4 linked regions of the Struthio camelus genome follow. The protein of the gene in region 2 interacts with the protein of the main gene of each other region in a pairwise test. Links are inferred from orthologs where the notes say so. Each region holds a gene or a part of one and is shown on either strand. Other genes may lie near its edges.

The links.
Region 1: the proteins of TRAF3IP1 (region 2) and SNAP91 interact in a two-hybrid assay, tested with the Homo sapiens proteins (2 studies listed by BioGRID and IntAct). The link is inferred for Struthio camelus from reciprocal best matches to the Homo sapiens genes TRAF3IP1 and SNAP91.
Region 3: the proteins of TRAF3IP1 (region 2) and SFR1 interact in a two-hybrid assay, tested with the Homo sapiens proteins (2 studies listed by BioGRID and IntAct). The link is inferred for Struthio camelus from reciprocal best matches to the Homo sapiens genes TRAF3IP1 and SFR1.
Region 4: the proteins of TRAF3IP1 (region 2) and KANSL1 interact in a two-hybrid assay, tested with the Homo sapiens proteins (2 studies listed by IntAct). The link is inferred for Struthio camelus from reciprocal best matches to the Homo sapiens genes TRAF3IP1 and KANSL1.

Annotation. Positions count from the first base shown.
Region 1 is NC_090944.1:47,477,864-47,484,860, forward strand, and holds the start of SNAP91 (clathrin coat assembly protein AP180), read right to left. Parts: upstream 3,023-6,997; 5' UTR 2,905-3,022; intron 2,226-2,904; 5' UTR 2,199-2,225; coding exon 2,069-2,198; intron 1-2,068. UniProt on the Homo sapiens protein: Adaptins are components of the adapter complexes which link clathrin to receptors in coated vesicles. Clathrin-associated protein complexes are believed to interact with the cytoplasmic tails of membrane proteins, leading to their selection and concentration.
Region 2 is NC_090947.1:2,128,700-2,136,019, reverse strand, and holds the start of TRAF3IP1 (TRAF3-interacting protein 1), read right to left. Parts: upstream 3,013-7,320; 5' UTR 2,846-3,012; coding exon 2,723-2,845; exon of another isoform or gene 2,554-2,722; intron 1,839-2,553; coding exon 1,770-1,838; intron 1-1,769.
Region 3 is NC_090948.1:14,480,171-14,487,043, forward strand, and holds the start of SFR1 (swi5-dependent recombination DNA repair protein 1 homolog), read right to left. Parts: upstream 3,020-6,873; 5' UTR 2,658-3,019; coding exon 2,609-2,657; intron 1,500-2,608; coding exon 1,384-1,499; intron 275-1,383; coding exon 1-274. UniProt on the Homo sapiens protein: Component of the SWI5-SFR1 complex, a complex required for double-strand break repair via homologous recombination. Acts as a transcriptional modulator for ESR1.
Region 4 is NC_090966.1:4,396,913-4,404,813, reverse strand, and holds the start of KANSL1 (KAT8 regulatory NSL complex subunit 1), read right to left. Parts: upstream 3,011-7,901; 5' UTR 2,951-3,010; intron 2,186-2,950; exon of another isoform or gene 2,070-2,185; 5' UTR 1,910-2,069; intron 1-1,909. UniProt on the Homo sapiens protein: Non-catalytic component of the NSL histone acetyltransferase complex, a multiprotein complex that mediates histone H4 acetylation at 'Lys-5'- and 'Lys-8' (H4K5ac and H4K8ac) at transcription start sites and promotes transcription initiation.

The sequences.
Region 1 (6,997 bases), on a different chromosome or scaffold from region 2:
GAATCAGTATCTTCTGCAGAAGACATCCGAGTACCACATTCATTTGTCCCATCCTCACCAGCTAGACACACTGTTATGAGCTGAATACATTCAGTAATCTCTCTCCATTTAACTCACAAAGCCCAGCTGCTAACGAGGGCACCAGGAGAAGATCAGTCATGTGACATGACCCTCGGCCACTAAGATACTAAATAAAATTATGGAGCTCCTTACAGGACGCAGAACCACCACACCATTACTATAATTCCGAGTCTGACATAAATAGCCTTTAAACGTAGCGCTCCATTTACTATTGCACTTTTACCATTTGTCTATTACAGAGCATAACAGACAGCTTAAGACTCTAGTACTTGGTCCCCCATATCATTCTTCCCTCCTTTCTCTTTTCGTCTCTTTGTAAAGCATTGCTCCAACCACCTCCTGTGATCTTCTCAGGTACTTGAAGTTTTAATCATCTAAATCCTTTGCATCTCAACTCAAAACTTATCTTAAGCCATCAGAAAGTTTCACCTTTCATTCCTTTCTCCACATTTTCAAGTGATACTTATCCAACTTCAAATGCAGTCAGCCACGTGACTCAAAGCTCTGCCTTCACATCGAGCAGTATTTCCTGCATGCGCTAAGGTACTGCTCTTTCAGAGGATGAACTTTTAACTTTACTCTCTCATTACATTTGATCCATTTTAACTCTTGTCCACAAATAGGATGTCGGAGTTCAAGGAATTACTTAACAACCGACGGTTCTGAGGAGATGTATCAGGTCTAAAAACCTGAGTCTAACACATATGAGCATACACATGAGCAAGTTAGCTCAGGTGCTTTTTTTTTTAAATGTATGAATTTGTCTTTCATTTATAGTTCACAATTTTGAATGTGCATATCTCCTCCCATTGATGAGATTATTCCATCTTTAATGATATAGATATGTGATATCAAGATATCCAGTCTGTTTAAACAAAGATTTAGATCCAAGTAAGTCTTCAGTCAATGCTGCTTACATTGGCATCTCTTAGACATGTACCTGTAACAGAGTATTTAGATACACTTGAAGACTAGTATGTCATGTGTCACTTTAAGTGTTAGCTATGAAGTCACTAGCACTGAAATCTGGAATTATTTTCTAGAAGTAATACAACCTGTTTTTAAAAATTACAACATTAGAATTGTACTTACATGCACACGCACCACTTTTACTTAGTAACAGACAGCAGCCAAGAGACTGCTTGGTATAGGACCCTCTTTAAAGTGTTTTTGCCACGTGTTAGCATTTACAAATAAATAAATAAAAATAAGGAAGAGACCAAGAGTAGAGTGGGTTGAAAAGCAGTCAAGACAAAAACACTACCAGCAACAGAAAACAATACCACTATGCTATTTTCAGAAATGTGGTGACCTCGAGCTTCTTTCATGCGTTAACTAGTTGATGCAAGTCCAGAACAGATTGAAAAAAATCTTTGAGAGAAAGCCACCAGCCATCTTCACTAAAATGTGTTGCACAAGACCAGACAGATCATGAAGTTCTTCTTAGACATTTGGGACCTCAACAGCAGCCCTTAAACTCTCCAGACGCTGACCCAATCTACAGCCTACAGCTATCCAAGTACCTTGCCATTTAGAGTTACATTCATCTAAAACCTCTTCACAAGTCTGCTATGGAGGTGGCCACGCTCCTATCAGTACTTGGTCAGCTCCTGGCACAGCATTTGTGTCTCTGCCTGGCATAATCATGACCAAAGTATGCAGAAACAAGCCAGCGTCCATTTTGCCCTGTGGCCTTTCTGCTTGCAGAGCAAGGTGCGCTCCATAAGGCGCACTCTGCACTGCCTTCCTGAATAGGAAGCAAGGGGTCAAGAGAAAAAAAAAATGGCTGCGAGAGCTGTATTATGCAATAAGAGAAGAAATGCAATAACAACTCATCCTCTCTTGGAGATTTCTCATAACCCTTACGATTTGCCCGCAGCATGACAGCAAACACCATGGCCAGAACGCTTAAAGCCACAACAAGGAGCCCTGCAGGCAGCTGCCTTAGCCCCAGGTCTTCGCTGCTGACACAGAAAGCGATGCTTACAGTCCAGGTGCTTTTTCTTGGGCCCCATCACTTCATGCGTGGTAGCTTTGCAGACGGCTCTGGCTACAGCCGATCCCGTAACGCTGTACTGAGCAGCTGCGATGCGATCTGTCAGCGTCTGACCCGACATCTTCGCCTACTGTCGCTGCTGCCTGCTCTGCATTGGCGGAAAACACAGGAGGGGAAGGGGATATTCGGGGTTGAGCACCGAGGGGAGGCAGCGGGCGAACCGTACACCCCCCCCACCCCACGTAGGGGTCCCTGCAGCAGCCTGGCCCTCCCCGAGGCACAGGCCTCCCCCCCCCACCCCCCCCACGTTGTGTAAGCATTTGCCTCACAAGACCATTCGGGAGAAGATGCCCGAGGTATTTTGGGGTATTTTAGACACTGCAGGGAGGGGGGCGAATCAGCACACAAATAACGCAGGAACCCCGGCGGCGGGGGGGGGGGGGGGGGCGGGAATAGCCACCCCCCACCTGCCCCTGTCTCCATAGGGGCCTGCGGCGCACGCAGAGGCCCCCCCGCCGCCGCCGGGGAGGGGGCAGCGGAGCCGGCGGCGGGGGGAGGGCCCGGGGGGGGGCAGCAGGGCGCCGCCGCCCCCCCCCCCGCCCCGGTGGCAGCTCATCGCCTCGTCGCGCCATGTTCCGCCCGGCCGGGGCCGCTCCCCGCCGCCGCCGTCGTCGCCACCGCGGGCGTGCGGGCGAGCAGGCCGCCCCCGGCCCCCACCCCGCCGCCCCCCGGTCCGGCCGCTCCCGGCCCCCGGCCCAGCCCCGGGGGGCGCCCGGGCGCCGATGCGGTGGCGCAGCGGGCGGATGAAAGAAGCGGCCGCAGCAGACCTGTCAGCGCGTCCGTCCGCCCGTCCTTCCTTCCCTCCTCCTCCTCCTGCCGCCGCCGCTCCCGGGGAGGGCACAGTCTCCGCCCGCTCCCCCGGCCCGGCCCGGCCCGCTGGCGAGGCGCCGGCGCTAGCCGCAGGTGCGGGGCGGGCTGCCCCCTCCCGCCGCCGGGGATGCGCTGGGGCGTCCACGCCCGGCAACCGCCGCTGCTGCTATTTCCAGCCGGCGCCTTAATCCTGCCCGCAGCCTAATCCCCGCCGCTACTGCCGCAGCCAGCGCCGCCCCCTCCCCCGGTGCAGAGGGCGGAACGGCCCAGCCCGGCCCGGCCCGGCCCAGCCCGGCGCGGCGCGGCGCGCCCTCCTCCTCCTCCCACCCCCCGCCCGCCCGGCCGGCTCAGGTTGGTGGCCCGGCGCGGTCAGGTGACGCCGGGCTGGGCCGGTCGGCGGGGGCCGCTCGGTGCCGCAGGGAAGAGACCCCCGCCCGGCCCCGCCGCGCCTCTTAAAGGGGCCGCCGCCACCCGCCCGAGCGGCCCGGCCCGGCCCGGCTCGGCTCGGCTCGGCTCGGCTCGGCTCGGCTCGGCTCGGCTCGGCTCGGCTCGGCTCCCTGCGCCGGGCGAGAGGCCACTGCCGATCTCCGGTTGCCGCTGGGTGCCGGGACGGGTACATACGGACAGCGGCTCGGCAGGCCGCTGAAATGAAATAAGATAAGGTAGAAATGAATAGAGAATTCGTCTCGCACAAGCGGGGAAGTCCGCTGAGGCCGACGACGCTTCCGCTGTCTGCAGCATGGTCCTGTGGTTAAGGTGACAAATAATTCACCGAGGGATTGCAAACCTGCCCATAAATAGATGTCCCCGTAATATATGTACATATATATATATTAATTTTTTCTCGGTTATCTAAGAGACCCTAAGGATGCCGTGACCGCGCAGCGTTACGGTAAGGAAGGCAGATGGCCACTTCCAGCTCGGGCAAACCTTCACTTGGGGGAGTGAAGCGCAGGCGAAGGGGGGGGGGGGGGGCCGAGCGGTCCCCGAAACGGGGCCAGCGCGCATCCAGGCAGCCCGCAAGCCCTTGCAGGGGGTGCGAGGCGGGGCGGCCGGGAGCAGGGCTGAGAAGGCGACGGGCGGGCGCGCTCTCAAATCGCCGGAGCAAACAGCGCGTGTCGCCGCTGCTGAAACGTTTTCGCGTGTGAAGTGATGGCTGGGCTGTGTGGCATACGCAGACCACGCGGCCCCGCTTTTATCTGTTACGCTGGGAAGATAACAGTTGGCATCGCGCTGTACGACAGTACGCAAGAGACTGGAATGCGCCGTTTTTTATGGCTTCCCTTTTTTTTTTCCTTTCCCCACCGTAACGACCAAGAGGTTTTAAAGTCGTAGGTAGCCTGAAAGATTGGGAATCCTGTTAAAGCAATGCTTGAAAGTGCAAGTTAGTGTTTCTATGAAAAATCTCTTTCAAAACAACTGTTCGGCTGGTGCCTGTGACCGTGGAAGAGAGCTGTTACAATTTTCAGGCTTTCGATATTGGCTTCATTTGCTTCATTTTTTGCACAACAGGCAGAGCCATTTGGATTTAAAGATTCAAATGTTTTCTCAAATGCAGTGTTTGAATACAGACAGAGATTTCCTTTCGAGGAAGACATAACCTTACCAACTGTCAACCGTCGGGGTCCGCGCGCTGTGAACCTTCGCAGAAGTGAGGCCGGTGTACTGCCATAGTGAGTGAGCCCGCGTACGGCCACGGTGCCCGCGGTTGTTTGGCACTTCTGTTCAGCGATGAGTGACGGAAGAAATGCTGGAGTTGCACAGAAAGATGAGGTAACACTGTCTTCTCTAGCGCTGCTGTATGCAGTTCACTTGCAAGCAAATTCTACTCACATTTAGCAATCACGTTCCGTTTAGTGTGAAGCATTCGCCGCAGTTCAGTGGTAGTGGAGTGATTTGGGGGAGCTAGAAGCCTGTGTTAGCAGAGGCACACAAATAGCTTTCCGTGTATAGTTCACAGCCCATTATTCATTTCATAATGCCAATTGATTTCAGGAGCAGAAAGCAGCAGTGAGGATCTACAGATACCTCATGTTCCTTTACTGACGTTAAGGATGATTCTGAATTCTTCATGGTAATGCTGGCAAAAGTTTAGATTGCCTTGGCTTTCGGGAAGGCAGGAGGTTTGTTTTTAACCATTACGGAGAAAAAATACACTGAACGTTTAAGAGTTTGCTGATTTCACCCAGCAGGAATTGAGAGTGGCTTTGCTTGACACAAGCAAACAGGTAGTTTTCAACTTTACTGTAGGCAACTTACTGCAGAGACACAATTGTCTGTTAATGTTCAGTGTACATATTCTGAACCAAGTTACTGTGAAAGTCTGAACCAGCCCATATTGCTTTCAGCAGTTTCTGTCACTAAGAGTCTCCGCTGTATAACCAACAACCATGTTTATTAATGCTCCGCTCATTCTGTGTTTTCATATTGTCAAAATATTTACGCAAAAGATAAATTAGACAATTTGTACTATTGCCTTGAAAATTATGTGTTGCAAGTTGAGTTTAAAAGAAAGGAGAAAGGGATCCTCCAATCTATGCTGTTATAAACCGTGAGGTTGCCAAGTCGTGCACTGGCTTACATAAAAAGAACAAATCACAAGATATTTTAAATGCAGAAGTACAGAAACATTTTCAAGATGTTAAATTAATTTATCTTCTATTGTTTCCAGGAAAAAGAGTTGGTCTGTATCAACCTCACCTTCAGGCTCCTAAGTGGAGAGGAGGCATGTCTAGAGGCTGATTCATCCCATCCGACACCTGAATTAGGCACTAGAGATGGCTGCTTCTTCTCTGTGATGTTATAAAGCACGCAGGACTCTTACTTCATGCACTTGAAGTTAGGGCTTTCTTACCATACTCCTGCTTTTTTTTTTTTTTTGTTTCCCATCTGTTCTCTCATTTCCCAGTTTTCTTCACAGGTCTTCCAGTCGTCCGTCCAGGATTGATGCAGGCAAAGACTGCAAATTCATCTCGTTTGTGCCAAAGACTGAGATGGGCCGAGCGCTGTTGCCCTGTTGATGCGTGTTGCATCCCTGTTGCTCCTACAACCAGTGGTACAAACAGATCGCCTAGAGAGGCTGGCTGTAACCATAGTGACAGTAGCGGTCCTAAAAAGATGTGTGTAGCTCCAGCAAAGGGAGTATCAAAGGAGGTGCATTCTCCTGACTCGGTAGAAGGAGCCAGCAGATAGCAATATTCTCCTTGCGCTGCTCCCTGCAGCAGAAGCATAAGCAGCAGAACACAAATACCTTTTGGTAGCTGCCCAAATCATGAAATACTTAGGAGTTTCTCTGCTTCCGATGTTAAATATAACTCCTCACTTGATCTCATGCAGCTTCTCTCCATGACAATTCATACAAGTCCTCCTACGTACCCTGATTAGGCCAGTTGTTCATTCCACTAGTTGCTTTGCTTACTGTGATGATTAAGCACCAATGAGAAATTAAAGGAGGTGATCAATTTTCCAATCGGAATGATGGCCAGAGAAGGAGGTAGCCTGACTACGTCCTATACATCCAAAGCAGATTATTTATTAAGTTTTGGGGACTGCTTGAATTACTTTCCCTGTTTATAATTTTCAGAGAATAACACCACACAGGATTAGAGTACAAGCTAGGATGTGTGAGTACATACTCTACAACCCATATGAAATGCCTTTTTTACCCCTGAAGAAATGAAAACATTAGAAGAGGATTTAGATAAGGAAGAGAATTAATATGAGGGAGAAAATTATACACAGAATAGCTGACCTGTAGTGGTCAGCCGAACCGTATCACACTGAGATCATGATGTGTAGAATATAAAGTGATTGGCACATTGCAGACTCGTTGATTACATGGAAATGGTGATTGGCATTTATTGTCCAGTTCTGTACAGAACATGAGACATGTTCATTTACCTTATCCAGTATGCTGGTTCTCCCAAGGACAACCTTAAAATCTGTATTATCTTAGAGGAGATCTCTCTTGACTGCTCCGTTGGTGGACTTCACAAGGATAACTTTGGCTGCTGGAGTAGCTTTTTGGATTGAGTCTGGTGATAACACCAA
Region 2 (7,320 bases):
TAGCTGCAGACTATGCTTCTAGTGATCTGCAACTGCACCACACAACCAGCTTCCAAAGAACAACTGCCAATTTTCTCCTCCCACGGCAAGAACTCTGGACTACAGCATCAGGACTGGGTACAGACCTCTCCTTTTTCTGAGAGCATCCTGCCCATTCCAAGTCTATGTACCCATCGCCGAGATCCTCACACCAGATGAGTACCATCCCTTGGTGTTACCTAAAGCAGATCACCTTTGCATGGAAATATATACAGCTATTCACAACATGGACTCTAACTCTCCGCTGTTGTCTCTAACTCTCTGCAGGTAGCTCTGGTCTCCACAAAAAGATTCCTCCCCCTTTTCCTGCCATAAAAAGATCACTCTCCTGATTTTCTAAAACTCCAACAGAGATTATGCTAACAAAGCATCTTGTGAGCACAGAGTCTTCCCCCTGACCTGTGTTTCGAAAAGGGGAACACAAACTATAGCTGTTTTCCCAGCATTGCAGCATTTTGATCTCCTCTACCTGAACTCATGAAAACTATGATAGCATGGACCGCGGAAGAAATTCTCAGAGAAGTGCTCAAGAGGTTCATGCAACTTCACAGATGTGACAGAATGCAAATACAGAAGCAAAGATCTACTTTAGAGTTGCTAGGAAATCTGTTTTTTTCAGTTCACAAAACAAAAAAATGCACAGGGCTCTCCAAACAAGAGTACTTTGCTGCTCTTCATCACAGAACTACTAACAAGCTTCAGCAGGGAAAGTACCAAATACATACACATGTATAAGTCTCTGGTATAACTAATTTAGATGTTAGCAATTCAAATAACAGTATGAACATCCACAGAAATAAATGTACACATCAGACTAGTAATTATCTGCACGAATTGCACAAACCATCTACGCCACTGGTTGTATACAGATCTCTATACCAGATAAGCCAGGCTCATAGACCTTGTATTTGTAGTTGCTACACTAAACAATTTGCAGTGGACATAGCTTTCTAACTAGGAACTACATTATTTGCCATGAATTAGAAACTCAAATGACAATCTAGCTTTGAATCAAGCCTGTAGTTGGAGAAGTCAGCATCCCTGGCGGAGCAGAGAGGCAGACAGCAGAGGAAGAGCAAACACAGACAAGAATCACTCTTGTAAGGAACAAAAATATTTTTCATTAATAACATTAACCTCCTCTTTCATTAATTAGGTATTGGTAGATAGCAATAAAATTATTATAGATTGTATACACCACATGAGCACTTCAGAAAGTCCTGCAATATTAAGCAAGAATATTTATTGTGTATGCATATATATATGTGCATGTATATAAATATATATATATTTTAAGTAATAAATCTGAAAACACACATTCTGTAGAGAGACCACCAGTCTCTTAGAAGAGCTGTGCATGGATTTTTAGCATCTGTGATTTTATTATCAGTGGCTATTTACCTCAACGCAATCTTATTACATGATTATTATTATCTGTAATACAATAATACTTTGAAAATCTAGATCTCGTCATAGATTAGATCTCACTGTTTCAAGATCTGTATAGAAACAGTTCTTTTACACAGACATTCCATGAATGGAATCTGTAGGTATTCTCCTTAGGCACTACATAAGATAACCAATATGCAATACCTCCTACTATTTCTTCACAATGTTAAATTAAAGACAATCACTTGAAATTGAACACAGAAATGATGAAAAATACCTTGTGGCAGGTTTGAAAGAATCTTAATATTAAAACCCAATAAATAAGGAAGTTTAATACCCACCTTAACGTTATCTGATTTCAATTCAAAATCCGTGTAAAGTCCTTTCATAAAACCTGTTACTCTGATTACCTTCAAAACAGAGGAAAAGTAACAGGTTAAGAAAACTTCTTGATTTTTTTTTTTTTAAGAAAACATTTATGGACAGGAACGGTCTCTGTGAACTTCCTGACAAGAGCAAACGTATCAGTCTTACTTTCAGAGAGGATACGTCATTTAGAATTAGTTCTAGAGCAGGTTCAGAGGTGTGCTGTATCGCTGAATATGCTCTCGAACATGTTTCAGTGAAACTTACTCCTTCCTTACTGTCCCTTCCCACTTAAACCCATACTTAACCTTGATGTTTGGGAACCTTGAAGGCTGAGACACATGCTTTTCAAATGGCAATGTTAACTTAGCACCAGGGTACAGGATTTCAACGCAGCTCTCGGTTATTCCCTTATTGATTTCTTTACATGCAACTACATACAAAAGCAGAAGCTCAGTAAGTACAAAAATTAAGATTCATTCTAAGCGGGAGGTGGAAAATCAAGCTGCTTCAACGCACACTTCATTAGCATTTACAACCTTCCAACAGCAGATTTCACAAAAGACCAGCTCCACACTGGACCGGAGGAAGAAGTCAGACCCCTTGCCTGGTCTTAACCCCCCGAAAGCCACGCTAAGAAGCCGGTTTACGTCTTCCCCACCGCGAGCTGAGCTTCCGCAGCCGCCACCCCCTGGGGCCACCCAGCCCCGTGCGCCCCCGGGGGCTTGCGGGCAGAGCTCCGGCCTCCTCAGGCCTCACCTCCTCCAAAGGCCAGGGGCTCTCCCGCCCCACGGCGCGCACAGCGGCCCCGCTGCCCCCCGCAGGCCCCTCCGCCCCCGTCAAGGAAGCGGGCCAGGCCGGCCGGCCGGCCCTGTTGCCTAGCAACCAGCGGAGCGGAGCCGGGCCGGCGGCCAGGCTCCGGGCCCACCTCGGTGATCACGTCGTGCAGGTAGCGGAAGGGCGGCTTGCTCAGCAGCCGCTCCGTAAGGGGCGGCTTGCGGATCACTTGGCCCAGCGACTCCTGCGTCCGCCGCACCACCGCCTCGTTCATAGCGGCGGCGGGAGCGCGCCGCCGCCGCCGCCGCCGCCGACTTCGAGCCTTCCCAAGCTGCCCCGCGGCGCACGGAGCCTCACTGCACAAGCGCAGCTCCCACGACGCTGTTGCTAGGCGCAGCGGCGCGGCCCTAGCAACGGGCCCCCGCGGCCATGTTAGGCCCCGCCCTCGCCTCGCCCGTGCTAGGCCTGGGCAAGGTAGTGGCTGCCTCAGGGCGCCCCGCCTTGCCCCCAGCCCAGCAACCCCCCCCCCCCCCACATACGCCCTCCTACCTTGAGGTCACTGCCTCCTCCAGTGGGGCCTAAGGCCCTGCTAGCTCTGAGGGACCCAGCTGCCAAGGGAGTGTCTTCAGGGGGGCTAAAGCCCTGGGCTGGGCTGCCTCTTGCTACTGCCGGGAGTGGGAGCGGGGCGCTTTTTGGTTGTCAAGTACCTGCAGGAGAGGAGGGTGTTGCTTAAATTTGGGATCTGTTTGCGTGTTAACCTCTGCACCCCACCCAGTGATGCCCACTGTGCGCCAGGGATGAACGGGAGGATGGATGCCCTTGCCCCGTGGTCCTGCCCGGAAGCGCCCACGGGCGCCTACCCTGTGTGTTGCAGAAAGCGTTTTCCTTTGCCCCGCAGGCCAAAACTGTGTTTTCTGTTGCAACGCTACTTATACGATGGGATAAGATAACGCCTTATCTTGCTGTCCTGGTAATAAGTCAAATCTAGAAAACCATGACATTTCCACCATGGATATGCAGGTCAGGCCTAGGGCATGAGCGCAGCAGGACCAAAGCTTTGAGGAGGTGCTGGACTGGTTTTGCCTGACTGCTGTTCAGCAGCCCTGTGCCTCCAGGAACTGCCCCAAAGACAAGCCGGCAGCACGCACACGCTAACTCCAGCTCTTCCTGGCAGCTGTGGAGGTACCGCAGGTGCTGTGGGGCACACTTGTGTGTGAAGACCTGTCTCCCAAGTGCCCAAGTCACTTTGCCTGCACAGTCCCTCAGGGTAATATATGTGCTACCAGCATGCGAATATGTATTTCTGTCTAGTCCGACTCTTGACTAAATAGTCCTAAAGCCTTGCATGGGGAGTAGCCAGAGCCAGCTAGTTCAGAGTGGCCTGATGGTCACAGGTCCATGTGACTTCACAGGTAGCATGGAAAGAATTTTGTCATGTATCTGTCAAAGCTTAGTCCCCTCTCCAAATGCTGTTCACAGAGTACTTTACAAAATAGAAGTAAGATGTATCTGTCAAGATACAGCATAATTTTAAACGTATCTAAGTCTTACTCTAGGGCACTCAAATTGAAAGTGGATGCAAGACGTAGCTCTTTTGACTGCAGAAACCTTTGGATTTTGTTTTAAAGCCAATGAAGTTATTTAGTAACAAAGATCCAAGAGCAAACAATTGGCTTCAGCTTCCTAAGGTACTGAGCTAGTCAAAGTTGAGTTCCTTACTCAAGCATTACCTACAACACGGGAACAAAAGATAGCAAGCCAGAATGTTTACTGAGGACCAAAGTTTGGACCTGAGGAGAGAGTGATTCCAGCTGCTTCAGAACTGCCGGATAGTTGTAAGTACAAGCCACCCGAAAGAAAAGGGAAAAAGTTTTGCTGCCCAGGCTGGCCAAAATTCAGCTCTATATTCAGACACTATTTACCAAATATAAGCACAGTGAAGCAAGTATAAGGTGTGGCAGCTTATTACATGAATAAAATTTAAGATCTGCGGGTGTCCAGCAATGTCAGAACAGCTGGAGCATCTGGGAAAGAGTCCCTAGAATGAACCCTAAAAGCATTTTGTCTGATACAGCTAGTCAAAACCCAATCCCTCATTTGAATAATTATCAGATAAATAGTGAAGCATTAAGTGTTTATAAAGTTAAATTATATCTTATGGTATTTTTTAAATTGTTCTTGACATAAAGAAGTAGAAAGAGTGAGATTGAGAAGAAGGAACGACATTCCAAATTCTCTGATCCTATATCACACTCCCCCTAAAGTCAGGACAAGCCAATTGAAGGGAAATAACAACACAGGACCACCAGCACCATCATTGTCTCCTACAGGGACATTCCTACCAGATAGAGTACTACACACTCTGTGCAACCTGCTTTGTGGTTCCCACCTTACAACCTTTATCAAAAAGCAAAAACTTTGTTTCCAAGTGCTTGTTCATGTTGCTTCCTATCTTCCTGATCATGTTTGGGGCCCTAGGAAGGAAAGTTCTGCTTTTCTGCTCAGCCCGTTGTGACCATTAATTTTTGAAATCTAAACTTCAATAGGGCTACATGCAGTCTGTACTGCTGTGCACTGTGACTGCCTGCCCATTTAACAGCCCAAATTTGCAGCTCCTCTGCCTTGCTAAATAGCACTTTGCAGTTGTCACACTCCTCCTAAAAGGAATTGTTACAAGTTCTCCCATGCCAGAACCAAGTCTTCGGATAAGACAGAGTAGAGCCTGAGTGAGAATGAATCAGACTCAGATTTAGGAACAAAAAGGAAGACTTTACAAAACAGATTTATCTGGTATTAGTTCAAGCATGGAAAGAGGTTATTTTTCTGCAGGGGAAGACAAGTGGACAGCTTGCATGCTGACAGAGTAATTACACCTGGGCCCCTGAGAGCAGGTAGTTCAGCAGGAGGAAGTTGTAGGGAAGCAATTTGTCTCTTCTCTCAGTCTGACACAATCATAAATTGATGCGGTTCCCAGACAGATTATGACTACAGGATCTGGTGAGCCTGGGAAGAAGACGACGTGTTGACAGCTTCTACATCCAAGGGCATCAGAAGGAGTCTCAAAGGAAGCAAGAAGACTGGGAAGAAGCTGCTCTGGGGAAGAAGGTTTGTTTATTTTGGAATCATGTGGTTTATCTGGACTTCTGCCACTAGCTCTCTATGGAGTGTTTGTAAAGCCTGAGAAGGAGTCTCTGGGGCTTTGTTAAATTTGACCTTTAGCATGCTTGTTTCACTGAAGAGGTAGTACCCTGAGGAAGCACGGCTCAATGTAGCTGAAGAATCAAAAGCTGGCAACTTACAAAAACTCCATGAATCCCTGTGGATCTAAAGGGAGGCACTGGAACTGAAAGAATTATCCTAAAACCACAAAACAGATAGCCTGAGGTTTAGTCTGGAGACTAGTGCATGAGGCTTAGTTTGGAGACCTAGTACTTTTGAGGACCTTGGACTAGAATTGCTAGTAGAGGTTGGGCATGTTGAGACCTTCTCACATGGGGTGAAAATACAGAGAGAATATCTAAGACTTGGTAAACACGGCAAAAAAGCAACTACGGTTAGTGAACTGTGTGAGCAGCAGAAGTGCTTACACATCTTTAACATTCCATTGAGAATCTCACACAATCCTCCTGAAGATGCCAGTAGGAAGTGCTGTTGACCACATAGCGTCAATAGGAGATGAAGCAGCTTACAGATTGACTCATGCCAAGATTCACAGATCTCGCACACGTTGCAAAAGTCGTCCCAGCATCAAGAGGGTCACAGAGAAACTTGCTGTTTCAAACAGACCACCACTACTGCAAGCAGCAAAAGACATAATGCATATTGCCTTTTCCTCCAAGTTTTACCTCCTTCCACAGCAGGAGACCCGACCTTTCCAGCCACTAATTTGACTTGATACCACAGAATTCCTTTGCTGAAGTAGGCTGCAAAGCAACAAGGTGGCACTACAATGCGTATTGCTAGCCAAATATTTAAGGCCTAACTGCTCAGCAGCTGGAATGGAAAGCTTCCTAGCTCTATTTTTCTTTATATACCACAAACAGTAGGGTATTATCTCCATTCCCAAATGACCTTATGATCTCAGTAGCATACATGTGCATATGTATATGTATATGTATATGTATATGTATATGTATTTGTATTTGTATTTGTATTTGTATTTGTATTTATACATGCAGTTCCCAACCTAGGTCAGCCAAACTACCAAATGCTCCTGAAAATTATAGATGCAGCCTGACAATGGAAAGCACCCACTTCCTGTCTCAGACACAGACATTTCTAGTATGGACCAGACCAGAGGACAGTGGTATCAGGGCATGAGTAACATGGAGGGACATGCAGACTACATGAACAGCTTTGAACAGCTCCTGCAACATTTTTAGTGATGGTAAACAGCTGAGCAGGGGATCCTGTCCAAATCCATGGGTAGTCTGTTGAACAAAAAAAGAGGAATTTTCTTGGAGCATAAAAAATGTTCTTCCTACGTAATTCTGGTTTTGTATTACTTTTGGGATCCTACTTTTTGGCTGTAACCTTGCAAAGAGCTGGAAGAGGCATAACAGATTGACAGGCTGCAATAGCTTCTTGAGACATAGGAAGGTGTTGTTTCTGTTTCTTAACAATTAAACTTTGCTTTAGCTGGAGAGTTAAACAGATACAGACTCTCTGGCTATATGCCCTGAGCCAAAGCTGCTAGAATAAGTGAAGCACCTGGTTGATTCACCTGCCCCATAAAATACTCTTTTTCTG
Region 3 (6,873 bases), on a different chromosome or scaffold from region 2:
CCCTTAGCATACAAGGATTCTCTGTTGATCCACAGGGAGAGCTTTTCTGTAAAGAACTTTTGAAACGCGCATGACCAGGGCAGTTTCTTTCCAGGCTTTCAGGACTATCTTGTAATCTGGAAAAATCTATATTCTTCTTTGATAGAGAAGCTTCGTCAGAAGCAGCACAGTCTTTTTCTTCAGTGTCTATTCTGAGCCGCTTTGCCACTGTAAAACTAGCATTAAATGAACGTCTTGTTTTTCTTAATCGTTCCCTCAGAGCTGCACTCATTGGCTAAAGATAATAAAAGAACAACAAAAAAAAGGAGAAAGATTGTTCTGATTTCTCAGAATAACCTTATCTTTGATTCATATCCTGTTTATTATTTACATAGAATACATCACATGTAGGTCACTGTAAAGCCTAACTTCCTAATTGTTGCTATAGTTTTCACAAACTTGAACAAAGTTAACCGTTTCCTTTCATGTGTGCTTGCACACATAGCTGCAAGATATGGGAAAGCTGTGCCTCCAAATTTTCAAGGACCACGTGCTGTAATCCTTATTAAGACAAACTTACTTGTCAAAGTCTCAGTACAGAAGACACAGGGCACATTTCAGCTTGGTTAATTCTGTTCTGTTTTGTTCTACTTCCCCCATAGTTTCAATTACATAAGGATTTTTTTTGTAATATAAGCCATAGTCAATTTGACAGCATCAACATGTTAAGTTGTGTGTTAAGACAAACATCAAAGTAGAGCTAGACACTATAGAGAATATACAAACTGAAAGCACAGTGCATCGAGTTCTTTATGCAAAGCGTGTTCCATATTCAGAGCTAAATAAATAAAAAACATGCATATGAAGCTGCATAGGAAACTTAAAAACTGCTCAGGATGTCACAAGCCACAAAAGAGAAGGCTATTAAAATAAGACCAAGACTAACATTGCTAGACAAACACATGGGAGAGTCTATATTGGAGTCTTTTAAAAACAACATAGAGCAAGAGTCAGATGATTTATTTTCTTTGCTCAAGCGCAAGCAGAAGTCACAGGAAGTAATTCTGCATGCACAGGAACCCAGAAGATTGATTCGAGGAAGCTAAAGACAAAATTAAAAAAGGAGGTTTAAAAAAATAAAAATAAATTACATTATTAAATTTATTAGCATTTACATGGCATTTTGGGTATACTGCTACATCATTTTGCATTCGTAACAGACTTTCATATTTAGAGCAAAGTATACCAAAAGCACTTCTTACCTGGACAACCTTGCAATTACAGTTATAAGCTACTTATAACTTTAGCCTTCCAGTGAACAGTTCCTCAGTGACTACTTGACGATTTCTAAGTATTTTTGTCACTCATAAGTCACGTTAATGGAAACAAGTTAAGTTTTCGTACCCGTTTCCCTGAACTAGTGCTCTGTGGAGCTGCTGTCCCAGAATCCTTTGGAGTACTGCACAGAGATGTCGATTTAGCAAACCCTGGTTCTTCCATCTTCAGATAGAAAGCAATTTCTGTTAAAAGAAACATTAAATTATGCACGGTGCCATTTTTACCTAATTATAATGGGCCACATGGCTGCGGGGATGAGTAAAAAGCCCTGAGAAGAAATAGTACAGCTTACCATCTGTTACGTTCAAAAAGACATCTGCCGATGTTCTACAAACATTTCTTTTGCTAAGAACCATTTTGGATTGTGAACAGCTTTACTTCAAGAGGATGAATAGCAGTACTACCAGCTACAAAGCATCTTACTGTGAATTTTGTTTATTACATCTCCTTCGTTCATAAAGTGCTACAACATGTATTCCTTAAAATAAATATTACTAAAAGTGTATAGTTATTCTTCAGTGTTAGCTTTTTTCCACCTATAACATTGGTGAGCCCTTTCAAGTGTTAAAAATGAGCAAGATTTATGAAGCACCTAGGCCCATTATAATATGCCTATAAATCCTAAGGTCAGATCCTGCAACATCAAACTTATCAACAAAAAGCTCACTTCAAACAAACTCTATTTTCTTCTTAACCTGAATGACCCTTACTGCTTGTCTAACTCACAGGAGTAATCCTTAGTAAGCCAGGTTGTGAAGAATCACTCCTTCCATTTAGCTGCATCCCAAGTAGAGATAAAAGAATTGCTGGGAGCCATGAGATTTTTATTGTCTGTCTACATAAACAACTAATCTTTAAAGAAAAGAGTGCCCATGTCTGTGAAAATAATCTACTGTCTTATTTGACCCTTTTGGGGGAAGCTACTTGAAAAAGTAATTACTCACACAAGTGGAATTTTAGATTAAAACTAAGCCTCCCCAGTTTACTCAGAGAAGCACCCTAATTAAAATGATAAGTCATACCTTCTCAGCATGTATCAACTTTAAATTGATTTGGCAGTGTTTAAGTGAGTTTAGCACTTGTGAACACCTGCTAGTGACCAGCATGCAACTGGAAAATTGTCAGCTATACCTCCCTGTACCTGGAAATTGCAATTAGGGGTTTTGAAACAGAAGCCTCTTGAAAATAAAAACCTGTAAACAAGTTGCCAGGCAACACAAGACTGGCACAAAGGGCTTCCTCTTCAGGAATGGAACCAATCAAAGCTTCAGTACACCAAAGCTTTACTAACCCTGCCACTCAGGTCCTCCAGGCTCTGTAACAAGGGCATGAGTCCTCATTCATCTTGCAAGTCAACATTCCCCCTAGCTGTTCAAAATTCAACATACGGTTTTTCATTAAAAAAGAAAAACTTTATGTAGGAACAAAAGTCTGATACAAAAGTATCTTGGCAATCTGCGCATTAAAGAGGAAGCCCACAGCACCTGTCAAACATAATGTAAGTTATCACTATTATTTCTCAGTCTGAGCAAGAGGCCCTGAAAAAGCTACATCATGCCTATGTAGTACATCACAAGTATGTAATAAATCTCTTACTACCAAGCAACAAACCTGAGAGCTAGCTTCAACATTTGTTCAACTCTTTCCAGGAAAAAAAAGAAAATCCTGTGACTCACTGCCTTTACATTCTAATGCGGAGTATTTGTCTTGAAACGACCATGAATACAAAGATTTTTCAAGGGTTCACTAACACTGTAACTGTCTCTAGAGTAACATGTTCACAATTCTCTCCTGCACTATTAAAAGCCTTCCCAAGTATCTCAGCCTAAGAATCCTTTGCATTTTCAAGTAGTAATGCTATTAATCACACAGAAAAATAACTCTGTCCACTAAGTAAGGAAAAGTTGGACCAGAAGTGCAAAAGACAATTTTGCACTCCAGTACTTACTTCTTCGGGGCTTTGGACAACTCCCCGACGCTAGGTGCCTCAGTTTTCCTGCTTACGGCTGCGCTGTGTAACAGCACTCACTCCGTTTACATTTTCCTCCGATAAACCGAGGGCTGCAGTGACCCTCCGCCACTGTCATGCCTGGCTAGTTTTCCACCCCTCGAGTAGGCAGGAAGAAGGCTGGGCAGCCCTGTGCAGGGTCACAGCCCCTCAGAGCTCCTTCTGAGACCACACCCCCCCCCCCGATGCGTAACCAGGACACCGAGGAGGGCCCAGAGGCAGCGCAGAAAGGGGGCGCAGCCCGCCGAGAGGCCACGGTCCAAGCCAGAGGCTGCTCGCAGGCCGCGGAGGGGCGGGAGGCCCCTCACGGAGCGCGGGGCACGCTGTGGCCGAAGCAGCCCTCTGAGAGCCAGCGCAGCCAACCCCCGGGGTGCCACCGACCCCGCCAGCCCGGGGGGGGAGGGGGGCAGCGTCCCGCCCACGCTAGGGGAACCCGGCACCCCGCCGACCTGAGGGGACCCCCGCAAGCCGCCAGCACCTCACCCGCCGCCGCGACCAACGGCCGCCGACCCCTCAGCGTGCCAGGCGCCTGCGCACCCACCCCCAAGGGCCGCCCGCCAGCAGCCGCTTCAATTTCCCGCTTCCGGAGAAAAGGGGCGGGGCCAGGGGGATCTTCGCAGCGCGCCTGCGCCGCTGTGGCCGGCGGGTGGGGCTCCGCGCGCCGGGCAAAGCGGCGCGGGCGGGCGCGCGAAGGTGGCAGTGGGACGGGCGAGCGGGCGGGCAGAAAGGAAGGAAGGAAGGAAGGAAGGAAGGAAACGAAAGAACAAAGCGTGGTTGCCGTCGCTGCCGAGATGGGGCCGAGCTTGTGGAGCCCCAGGCTCAGGGCACCTTTGAGGATCCCCCACACTCCTCCATTGCAGTGGAGCATGCAGCACCAGCCTGCTGCGGCTGTGTGGTGTTACGGCCAGACCTTGCCCAAGGCCTGGCGCCATCTTGGTGGAGGTCGTGCTTGCACAGCCGGTCCACTCGGTGCCGCCAAGAGGGGTTGCCACCCGCTGCCCCGAGCTGCGCCTTCCCCTCAGCTGCCGTCTCCTCACAGAAGGGGGGAAGCTGTCCTGGGGGAAGGCACTGGGAGGAGGGCAAGCCAAGGGGGTTCGGAAATCCAGGCTTCAAATGTAAGGGACAGCGAAAGAGCTGAAAAAGAAATGACTGGAAAAACAGACGGGATGGCCGCAGGGAGCGGCCCCGTGCGGGAGCAGCCCGAGCCACGGGTGCGCTTATGGGGCGCAGCGCTGGACCAGAGGCCCCTGGCGCTCAAAGGCGCTGCTGACCAAGCGTAATTCTCAAATCAGCCTTCTCAGCCAAATCCCCTGCCATGCTGCGGGCCAGTTCTCCCTGTGTGGATTTACATTTCTCAAGACTGATCTGTCTAAAGAAGGCTTTTCCGGTATAACTTTCAGAGCTGAGGAAAAACAGCTGAAGTAGCCGTAAGGGCTGTATTTCCCAGTCTGCCGCCAGCAGATGGATGATGTATCCGTGGTCCCTCCGGCACTGCCCGCAGCTGGACTGCATGATGAGTCCTCACCCAGCGCGTACCGATTGCTGTGCGTGGAGTGTACAGACTTGCGAGTCTCATCAGATCATGCCCTTAATTTGCATGGCAGAACTGCATTACTTTCCTGCCTGATTCCTCTTCGCAACCACAGATGAGGACGCTGCATTTATCCATTGCCTTGCATAACTTCCATCTGTATTGAGACAGGATACACTTTTGCCTGGAGAGGTGAGTAAGCACAGTGGAGTGTAGGCATGACAATATGGTGGTAGTTGCCATGCTTTTGACCATAAGTACGCGTAGATTCAGTCACTGTGATGATAGCAACCTTTCTCTCGCCTAACACCTACAGTAAAAAGCATCCAAGCGTTCACAGACAATCTATAATGAGTCGATTTGGGAAACCTTTGGGCTTTTGCATTATTCCTTGAGTATCACTTGACTATCTATGGGTGGCATGGATGTAGAAATAATGTTCTCAGTAGCAAATGGGGGAAGTTACGTTATACGACCAAGCTGTGTGATTAGTTATCTAGCAGAAAAACTCAGATGATAACTATTGCTTGAAGGAATTCTGAGGCATTTGTTAAATCCCAATGTGACATATCCCTTTTGTTTAATACCTGCAACTAATTTCATGTTGTAAATCTTTTTTTAAAAAATGGTATGTCAGAACAGCGCTACTCAATACAACAGTAACAGTTTTAATAGAACTCCTACTCCACATTTACAAGTGAGCTGGATTTCAGATGCACAGCAGCTTTGAGACAGCATGTCTCCAAGTTCAAAACATGTTTCTTTCTGTCTCAGTGATGGTTCCTTTTAAAAATTAGTCATGCTGTGTTGCACAGACATGCTAGTGGTTGAGTTGCACAAGAGCAACAGAAAGTTTGAGATTTCAGATCTTTTGCCAGCTGAGACTCCAGGAAGGTTTTACAGGAACGTAACACATGAAAAAGTAGATACACAGAACAGTCACCCTGTGTGTTATCATTGTTATTTTATTGCAGTAACACCCACATGCCCCACCCCAGGTGAAGATTCCAGCGTGTCTGAAACTGTGAATGTAGAAAGACAGTTCCACACATCGGGTTTATAAGCTGTATGTGCTACACAAAGAGGAGAAGAGGAAATATTATCAGTTGTATTCACCAATGCATAATCACTCTTGGAAAAGATCCTGTTTCAGGTTGGTATTCAGTATTTACCTGTGTTTACCAAGTTTACCTATGTAGTCCTGTGAAAACATGCGACTTGCCCAAGATCAGATCTGGCAGGAGGTCCCTGACACAGCTGGGAACTAAACTGTAATCTCTTTACGAGTTCCTGTCCAGCCCTTTTATTGCAAAAACCCAACAGAGATGGATATTATGTTATCCAACACTTCATGATTGCAAGCAAGAATTAGACTAAACCCATCCTCTCAAAAAGTACATCTGTTTCCCCTGAGGAAAAAGAGACGCTCCATATATTATCAATATTGGCATATTTATGGCACACTGTGTAACGTTTCTCATATTGTTTGATTACTTTTTATTCCTTTTGCGACCAGAATAGTTTTATTTAAGCAAAATAAGAGAAAAAAAGTCTTTATAGGAAATTGTTCACTGAGTGATAAAATTACTGAGATCTATTTGCAGAACATACCCTTTGAACCTGGCAGAGAAACTTGTCTCCCTAAAGAACAAGGAGGAAAATGTGCTTCCTAGTTTTGTTTTCTGTACGCTTTGGTGCTTCTATGATTACACTTCAATGATTAGATTTTTTTTTCAGTTTACACCAGTTTAACGGCAGACAATTTGTCCCAGGACTTGACTGCACAAGTGAAAAATATTCTTTATATAAGGTCTCTCTCTTTAATCTTACATTACCAGAAAAGCACTAGAGTTCAGATATCAACACTGACAGGACAAGAATATTTTCTAGTCCACTGTGAGCATCATCTGTAGTAGCAAAGCCAGCATAAGTAGATCGTAATAATAAAGGATACTGACTCTGGGTCTAGAGATTCCAGTTTGACCTTTATGTGTTCTGTTCCTTCAGTGCACCAGAA
Region 4 (7,901 bases), on a different chromosome or scaffold from region 2:
ATAGCAGTTTAGACAGCATAGGAACAGGAGACATACTCGTACATTCAGGAAACAAGGTCCGACTATATCCACTTCACAAGAAGCCAATACCTCTAAGCAAAACTGCTGAGAGGACAGGAAAAAGTCTGACACAACTACTGTCTGCAGATCTTCCTTGGTACGTTCTCCAGCAGACTTTGGCTAGCTATATGCAAACCACTGTCACAGGCAAACCTCCCTCCTCTCAACTCCTGCCAGCTCGAGGACAGTAGAGAGGATCTGGTGTTATCTTCCTGTGTGCCCATTGCTGATCCACTCAGTCGGAAAAAGCAGACATCTTTAGTACCCCTCCTATAACCAAAAAGGAGGTTCTCTCTCAAGCTGCCAGGCATAGGTCCAGGCTGCACGGCACAGAGACCACCAGCAGCTTTTCTAGCTAGCAACATAAGGATGACATTGCCCTTCAGTTCTGCAGCAGTTTAAGCACTTTAACATTTTACTTTACTGCCCCTCCTCCAAGCTTCCTAGACTGAAGCACAAGGCTAATTAACTCAGATTTTTAATCAGAACATTTTGTTGCACAGAGCAACACTACTTTCAACTGTAGTAGACCCTCATTAGTTGGCATATAGCACACTTAAATCATAGGACTGACAACGTCTTAAGGCGACACAAGTATCCATGCAAGTGTCAAACTTCATACAGCCCTATAGTAGGTTTGGCCAATACGTTGATCTCTGGCGCTTTTGAAACAGGGACTGATCTCCAGAGAAGCGGCATGATGACTTCCTATCACTTTCAGGAGGAGTTGTAGGAACACAGACTTCTGAGAAGAAAGCGTTCACATTTAGCGATAACCTCCAAAACCTGTAACAGGGAGCTTTATTTTCTTATTTAAAGCCCACACAAGAACTTACTGTTATTAGGCATACACAGAATAAGAGCCTTTACTGTTGTGTTAGCCAACTGGAGATCAGATACCAGAGCAGATTTGTCTAATGTCAGTGTGAAAGGATTGAGCAAAGATTTTAGGTTTTCCTATTACAAAAGAATTTGTCTAAATTCAGTCCTCCATAATCGGACTGAAGTCAGGCTGCTTTGGCTTGTAGATCCATGAAAAAAGGGAACTATCCTTCCCTTCTATGTTTCATTTCAGCTTGTATTCAGATTCACTAACTTGATTATTATACCCAACTGCTTAGGACACAGCTCTTTTACTGTAATGACATTATCAGGATAACACATGACTTCTCAAAACAAGCACCAGCAAATCCTCACAACCATCCTTCCCAGATACAGTAGCACTATGGCCACTTCACACATGGGAAACCCAGAGGTTTGGGAAGGTGAGCAGATTTGCCCATCCGAGAGAACTTCAGTTTTCATGGGACAAAGCCAAGTCTATTAGGCCACACTAAAAGGTATACACAGAAGTCTCTTGAAATTAGAAATACACATAGAAGCCAGACCATGTCAGCAAGCAAAAGGAATCTGATAGCTGTAAACCTCTGTTTTAAGGATGCACATAGTAAGGGAACAAACAGAAGAGATCATTCTTTTTCATGGCAAGTCACACTTCTACATCCAGATGTAGTACATGAGGACAGGTAATACCAGGAAATACATACGTATACTGCCAAGAGGAGGCTGCACATCTCCTCGCTACATACGGGCATTAGAACCGTTTTTGAGAGAAACGCTCTGCGTATATGGAACGAAGCCACCTTTTCAGCCGTATTCCTGAACCTCCATGTTAAAGTTAAACATTTGCCAGGAAATTAGCGCGGAGGACCGGACTCTTCTCGTAAAATCAGAAACTAAAATAAAGCCTGTGAATACAACTCAGCATCTCAAACTCTGGTAGTTTTGCAGTGGGCGAAAGTCTAAGATTCTAGCTTACAATGGAAGAGCAAAGAACGGGAGCTCTTACCTCGCTGGACATCTTGGTAAAATCCATCCTCACCGACGGTAGTTCAGCAGGGACACCCAGCAGCGCGGGGAGGGACTTTGAATCCTTCCAGCCTCGACGAATTCCTGGTAGGTCTGCGAGTTCTTTATTTATTTATTTGAAGAAGTGGAAAATCCAGGATCTGTAAGAAGGGGTTGGGGGGGGGGGGAACAAAACGTAATTAGAGGGAGCAAACGGAGAGACGGCCAACAGACAGCACACCGACTTGCTTCCCTTCGCGGCGTCGTGCCGCCGCCTGCTCGACGTGCGGGGCCGGGGCGGCGGCGGCCGCGCCCCCGAGGGCAGCGCCGGGCCGGGCCACCCGCCGCCGGTCCCCGGCAGCCGCGTCCCACCGGACGGCGGCGCGGGAGGGGGGGGGGGGGGCTGCCCCCCCCACCCCGAGGAACGGGCTGAGCTCCCAGATCCTTCTAGAAGCCCCCCCCCCCCGCCCCGGGATCCTCCGGGGCTTCGGTTTCCTTCGGAAACCGTTGGGCTAAAATGGAGGCTCGGGGGGGGGGGGGGTGTTGCGCTCCCCCGCCCCGCACGCAGCCGGCCCCGCCGCGGCGGCCGCGGGACGACGGCGGGGCGGAGCGCGGCGGAGCTCGCCCCGGCGCCCCGCGCCCGCCCGGGCCCTCGGGCCGGCCCCCCCCCCCCCCCGGCGTGCCCCGGCTCCCAACTCACTCGGCGGCCGCGCGAGCCGCCCCCTCCCCCGCCTCGGCCTGGCGTCTCGGCTCCGGCCGCCGCCGCGCACCGGCCCGCGCCCCCCCCCCCCCCCCGCAAACGAGTTGCGGGACGGCGGCGGCGGAGTGGGGGGGGGGGAAGGGAAGGGGGCCGCACTACTTGGCCTGGCGCTGCCCGTGGGCAGCAGCGCGGGGAGCAGCGGCGGGTCCCCTCCGCCAGCAGCGTGGCGGGGGTCTCCCCCCCCCACCCACCCACGGCGGGTGGCCCCGGGCCGCCCCCACCGGGAGGGGGGGGGGAGGGGGGGGGCACCGGCCCCGGCGGCTCCCACATCCCAGCACCTACCTGCACAGCTCAACCAGCCTTGAAGTGGGGACCTTCCGCCCTCCTCCCCTCCCATTGGCTGCGCGCGGGGCATGGGCCCGCCTGGTTGGCCGGCGCCCCGTCAGTCAGCGCCGGGGGGGCGGGGCGGGCGGTGATTGATGCCGGTGCTCGGCTCGTTCCTGCCTCTCGCTTGTGTTTCCCGGAGAGGCTGGAGCCGGGGGGGGGGGTGAGGGGCACCGGGCCGCCCCCCCCCCCACACACACACACACACTGCGGGGCGGCCCCGGCGGCAGCCCGCGGCGGCGGCGGGCGGTGCGGGCCACCCTGTTGCTCTCGGCATCGGCCGCCGCCGGGGTTGGGGGGGGGGGGGGGCCGCAGCCGGCGCCCCCCGGGGCTGCCCCGCGGCCCGGCCGGGCCCGAGGCGGGCGGCGGCGGAGCCTGTGGCCGCCGCCCGGGCCTGTCCCCGGCGGGCTCTGCTGTGACACGGGCCGGCAGCGGCTGCCCCGGGCAGGGCCCGGCCGAGGCGCGGGCTGCGGCGGGCGAGCCGGGCCGGGCCGGGCCTCACGGGGCCGGTCCCGCCGCCGCCACGGGCCCGGCGAGGGAGGCGCCGGCGCTGGGGCCGCCCTGCGGGGGACAGGCCGGGCCTGGCGGGGGGTGGGCCGCGGCGGCCTCGCCTCAGGGCCGGCGAGGGGGCACGGGTGCCGCCGGGGCCTCGTGTCCCGCTGGGGACCGGACAGTCGGGTCCCACGGGTGACACGGGCCTCGTGTCCCACTGGTGACAGGACAGTCGTGTCCCCCAAGTCACACAGGCCTCATGTCCCGCGGGTGACACAGGGCTCGTGCCCCACAGGTGACACAGGCCTCATGTCCCACTGGTGACATAGGGCTTGTGTCCCATGAGTGACAGGATGGTCATGCCCTGCAGGTGACATGGGGCTCATGTCCCACTGGTGACAGGACAGTCGTGTCCCACAGGTGACTCAGGGCTCATGTCCCACTGGTGACAGGACAGTCGCGTCCCACAGGTGACTCAAGGCTCATGTCCCACTGGTGACACAGGGCTCATGTCCCACTGGTGACAGGACAGTCATGTCCCACAGGTGACACAGGCCTCATGTCCCACTGGTGACATGGGGCTTGTGTCCCATGGGTGACAGGACAGTCATGTCCCACTGGTGACACAGGCCTCATGTCCCGCTGGTGACAGGACAGTCGTGTCCCATGAGTGACTCAGGCCTCATGTCCCACAGGTGACATGGGGCTCATGTCCCACAGGTAACACAGGCCTCATGTCCCACTGGTACTAGGACAGTCATGTCCCGCAGGTGACATGGGGCTCATGTCCCACTGGTGACAAGACAGTCACGTCCCATGGGTGACACCAGGCTCCCATCCCCCAGGTCCCGTAGGCTTCTGTCCCACAGATGACGCAGGACACGCAGCCAGCCAGGGAGGGACATGGGGAGGGTTAAGCAGCAGCAGCGGAAGAGCTGAGCGCGCGAGATGGGGACAAGGGGGCGAAGAGGAAGCGCTGGGAGAAGGCACGACAGAAGCGCACAAAATGAGGCAGCCTGGGAGGCTGCTGGCGAGCGTTTGGGCTGCAGGAGGGCCGGAAATAGCCATTTCTAGCATTTGTAGGGAGTGTTAGCTCCCTGGATTGCTGGTGGAGCTGAGCTGCACGCACGCGCTAAGCAGAGGGTCCCAGGGTGGGAGGTGCAGGGAGAGGCACCCAGGGGACTGTCATCTGTCTGCTGTCATCTTCACACGGGATCTTTACGCTGGGACGAGTTGCTCGGCTTCGACGTGCTGCCAACACCTTCTGTACGTCGTTCTCTGACCTCAGCTAAAATGGTTTTGAAACTCCTTCCTGCACTTTGTTCTCCTTCAACAAGTGGTTCAGATCTTCATCTGAAAACTGGAGACTGTCCCAAGCAGTCCTGCTTGGCCAAAGTGGAAAGGTGCAAGCCTGCAGCAGATCCAGACCAAGAAGAGATCAGCTAACACGAGGAGAGCACTCGCTGCTCTGTGGGTAGCTCTCTGTCTTTGGCCACATCTGTGCTCAGGAAACGGTGCGCCTTGGCTGTCGAGTGAATTAAGTTGGAGTTTCAGTACTGTAGCAGACTAAAGTAACCCCAAAGCTGCTCCCTGGAGTTTATCATGACCCACTAACTTGCCCAAACGCTGCAACCTGTCTGGTGAACTCTACCGTGATCGTGCATCTTACAACGTCACATCTTTTCTCCCAGACAAGGTAAAGCCTTCCCCTGATTTCTTCTTATTCTGCCTTCCCACTTGAGTAGACATAATTGATGCCGTGGCGCAATTTATCCAGTTGCTGCCACTAGGTTTTTTTTTTTCAGTTTAGTTTTTATCCATTTCATGAGCTGGTTTTAATTCAAATAAAGGCAAGAATCCATGTCCAGCAGGTCTGGGACAAGATAAGCTCCTTTGAGCTTAACCGATGGTCTGGAGTTTCCTAAAGCAGCAATCCTGAGATGTTTTAGTCGTGTCCTAAAGAGAGAATAGCTGAAATGCTTGCAGCTTCTAAGGGATCATTATGTCTCAAGCAAGTTGTTAGGAGAGAGAAGCCAACATTTTTGCATATGAGAAATACCAGAATACAAATATAAAAAAGGAACTGCACTTGTTTCAGACAGGCAGCAGTGAGGTCCTGCAGTCTTTGGTATTCTTTGTGCACTAATTGCCAAATTAGTATATGATGCCTTGTATTGGGAGCTTAAAGCAATGAGAGTAACATAGTTTAGCACTCTAGATTTCCAAGGTGTCCAGAAACTAGTCAGTTGACTCTATGATCCTTCCATGCGACAAGAATTAGTATTTCCATTTGGGGAAACCGAGGCAGAGAGGACATTTAAGTTGCTCCAAATGTGTTAACAGCAGAGTCAACAGTAACGGTTCTTAATGCCATGGCTCCTCCCCAGGACAAGCCATCGTAAAATACCTCAAATGTCTGAGAAAGAGTGAGTTCTGCTGGATATTTCAAAGGAAGAACGTCTCAGTTCTAGCTCTGTGGGCAAGCAGCAGAGCTGTGATGGACACCTCCGGATCCATTTTAATCTCGAGCTTCCCTTCACCTCCCCAAAGTCCAGGTAGTTCCAGCCACCTGATGGTGCTGATGGAGAGACACTGTTAAAACCAGAGGCTTTGCATGGGATTCGCTGAACGTTTGTAACTCATCTAGTGTGTGGAAGCAGATCGCCTTCTGTGTCAGAGGATTACCATGCATTCGTTACTAAATGCAGGTAGTCTTTTGCTGTTGAACAGGTATTTTAAGTTTTAAGGACCAAAATGACAGTTGAGTTTCAGAGGAAACTTCAAGTAAGACCATTTAGATGCTGGCCATGCTCCTGTTTCTTCAAGATTGGCTTCTAACTTTTCTAAGCGTGTCTAATAATATACATCAGCAGCGGAGCTGAAGCTGGATTTCAGCAGATTTGCAACCCCTCCTTCCAGGAAACCCTGCTGGGGGGACCCCCCGGTGCCCACAGCGGTAACCAGCCGAAGGAGATGCTCCTCCGGGGGGCTATGTTTGTGCAAATGGCTGAAAATAACTCGTCAGCTTTTTTTTTTTTTCGACGACGTGGGCTAAAAGCGTTACCCTCCTGCGACAACTCAGCTCGTCCGTCTTGGGCGCCGTCTTCAGAAAAACGCGGCTGAGCCGCTCGCGCGCGGGTCTATGCAGAGGACTGGATACCGTGCAACCAAATCTCCTCCGGCGGTGGAGGTTGTTCTCTGGCGCAAGACAGCTCCTCCGGTGGGGGGAAACGTCCCGACCCGGCGCCCCGGGCCGGGTTTGTCCTACCCTCCGTGACGGGAGGTACCCGGCTCCCGAATCGGTGACAGAAAGTACGTCCGCCTCGCCCAGCTTGCTCTGAAGGCAAGCGCCCTCCTGATGGCCTTCGAAGGACCCGCGGGCACGTGGCGTGGACTTCCGGCCCTGCTGAATTTCCTGGCGAAACTCCTCTGCGTTTAAATGAAAGTTCACAGACTTCTGACGCGGAGCGGCCCCTTTTCGCCCTCCTCTACCTCCCCGGCCCCGGGAAGGGCAGCTGGCGCGCGGTGTTGGCCATCGGGCCGCGGACACCCCTGTGGCGAGGAAGCCGGGCTCTGCGCAGCGCTGCCGGCGAGGAAGGGCCGTCGAAAAGCGGTGTTTTCTCCCCCAAAACAAAGCTGAGGGCCGCAGCGCCGGCGGAGGTTCGTCACCCCCCTGGAGCGCGTGTGTCACCCCCCCCCCCGGCGTGGGTGTTTCGGGGGGGGGGATCGCTGCGGTCTCCCTCGCCGTGGGGACGCCCCACGAGGAGGCCGCGGCCCTGGGTTACCTGCCTCGCGGCGGTGCCCTCGGGCGAGACAGCGGGATGCGGCCCGTCTCCGCCCAGCGGGAGCGCCCAGAGGAGCGGCGGCGGTGGCGGTGACGGCGGCCGGACGCGGCCTTGGCCGGCGCTGCCCTCGCCCCAGGGCGAGCCGGGCCGGGCTGGTTGACATGGCCGCCGGGCCGGGCGGCGGTGGGTGCGCTGGAACCTTCCACGGCCCAACCACCGCGGAACCGCCAACCCGCCGCCCTCCCGTCCCGTGTGGGACATGCCATGGCCGCCCCATGTTCCCATCCTCGTGCTGGGCACACATGGTCACCTCATGCTCCCACTCCCGTGTTGGGCACACGTGGTCGCCCCATGTTCCCGTCCCCGTGTTGGGCACACGTGGTCACCTCATGCTCCCACTCCCGTGTTGGGCACACGTGGTCGCCCCATGTTCCCGTCCCCGTGTTGGGCACACGTGGTCACCTCATGCTCCCACTCCCGTGTTGGGCACACATGGTTGCCCCATGTTCCTGTCCCCGTGTTGGGCACACGTGGTCACCCCATGTTCCCGTCCCCGTGTTGGGCACACGTGGTCACCTCATGCTCCCACTCCCATGTTGGGCACACATGGTTGCCCCATGTTCCCACTCCCG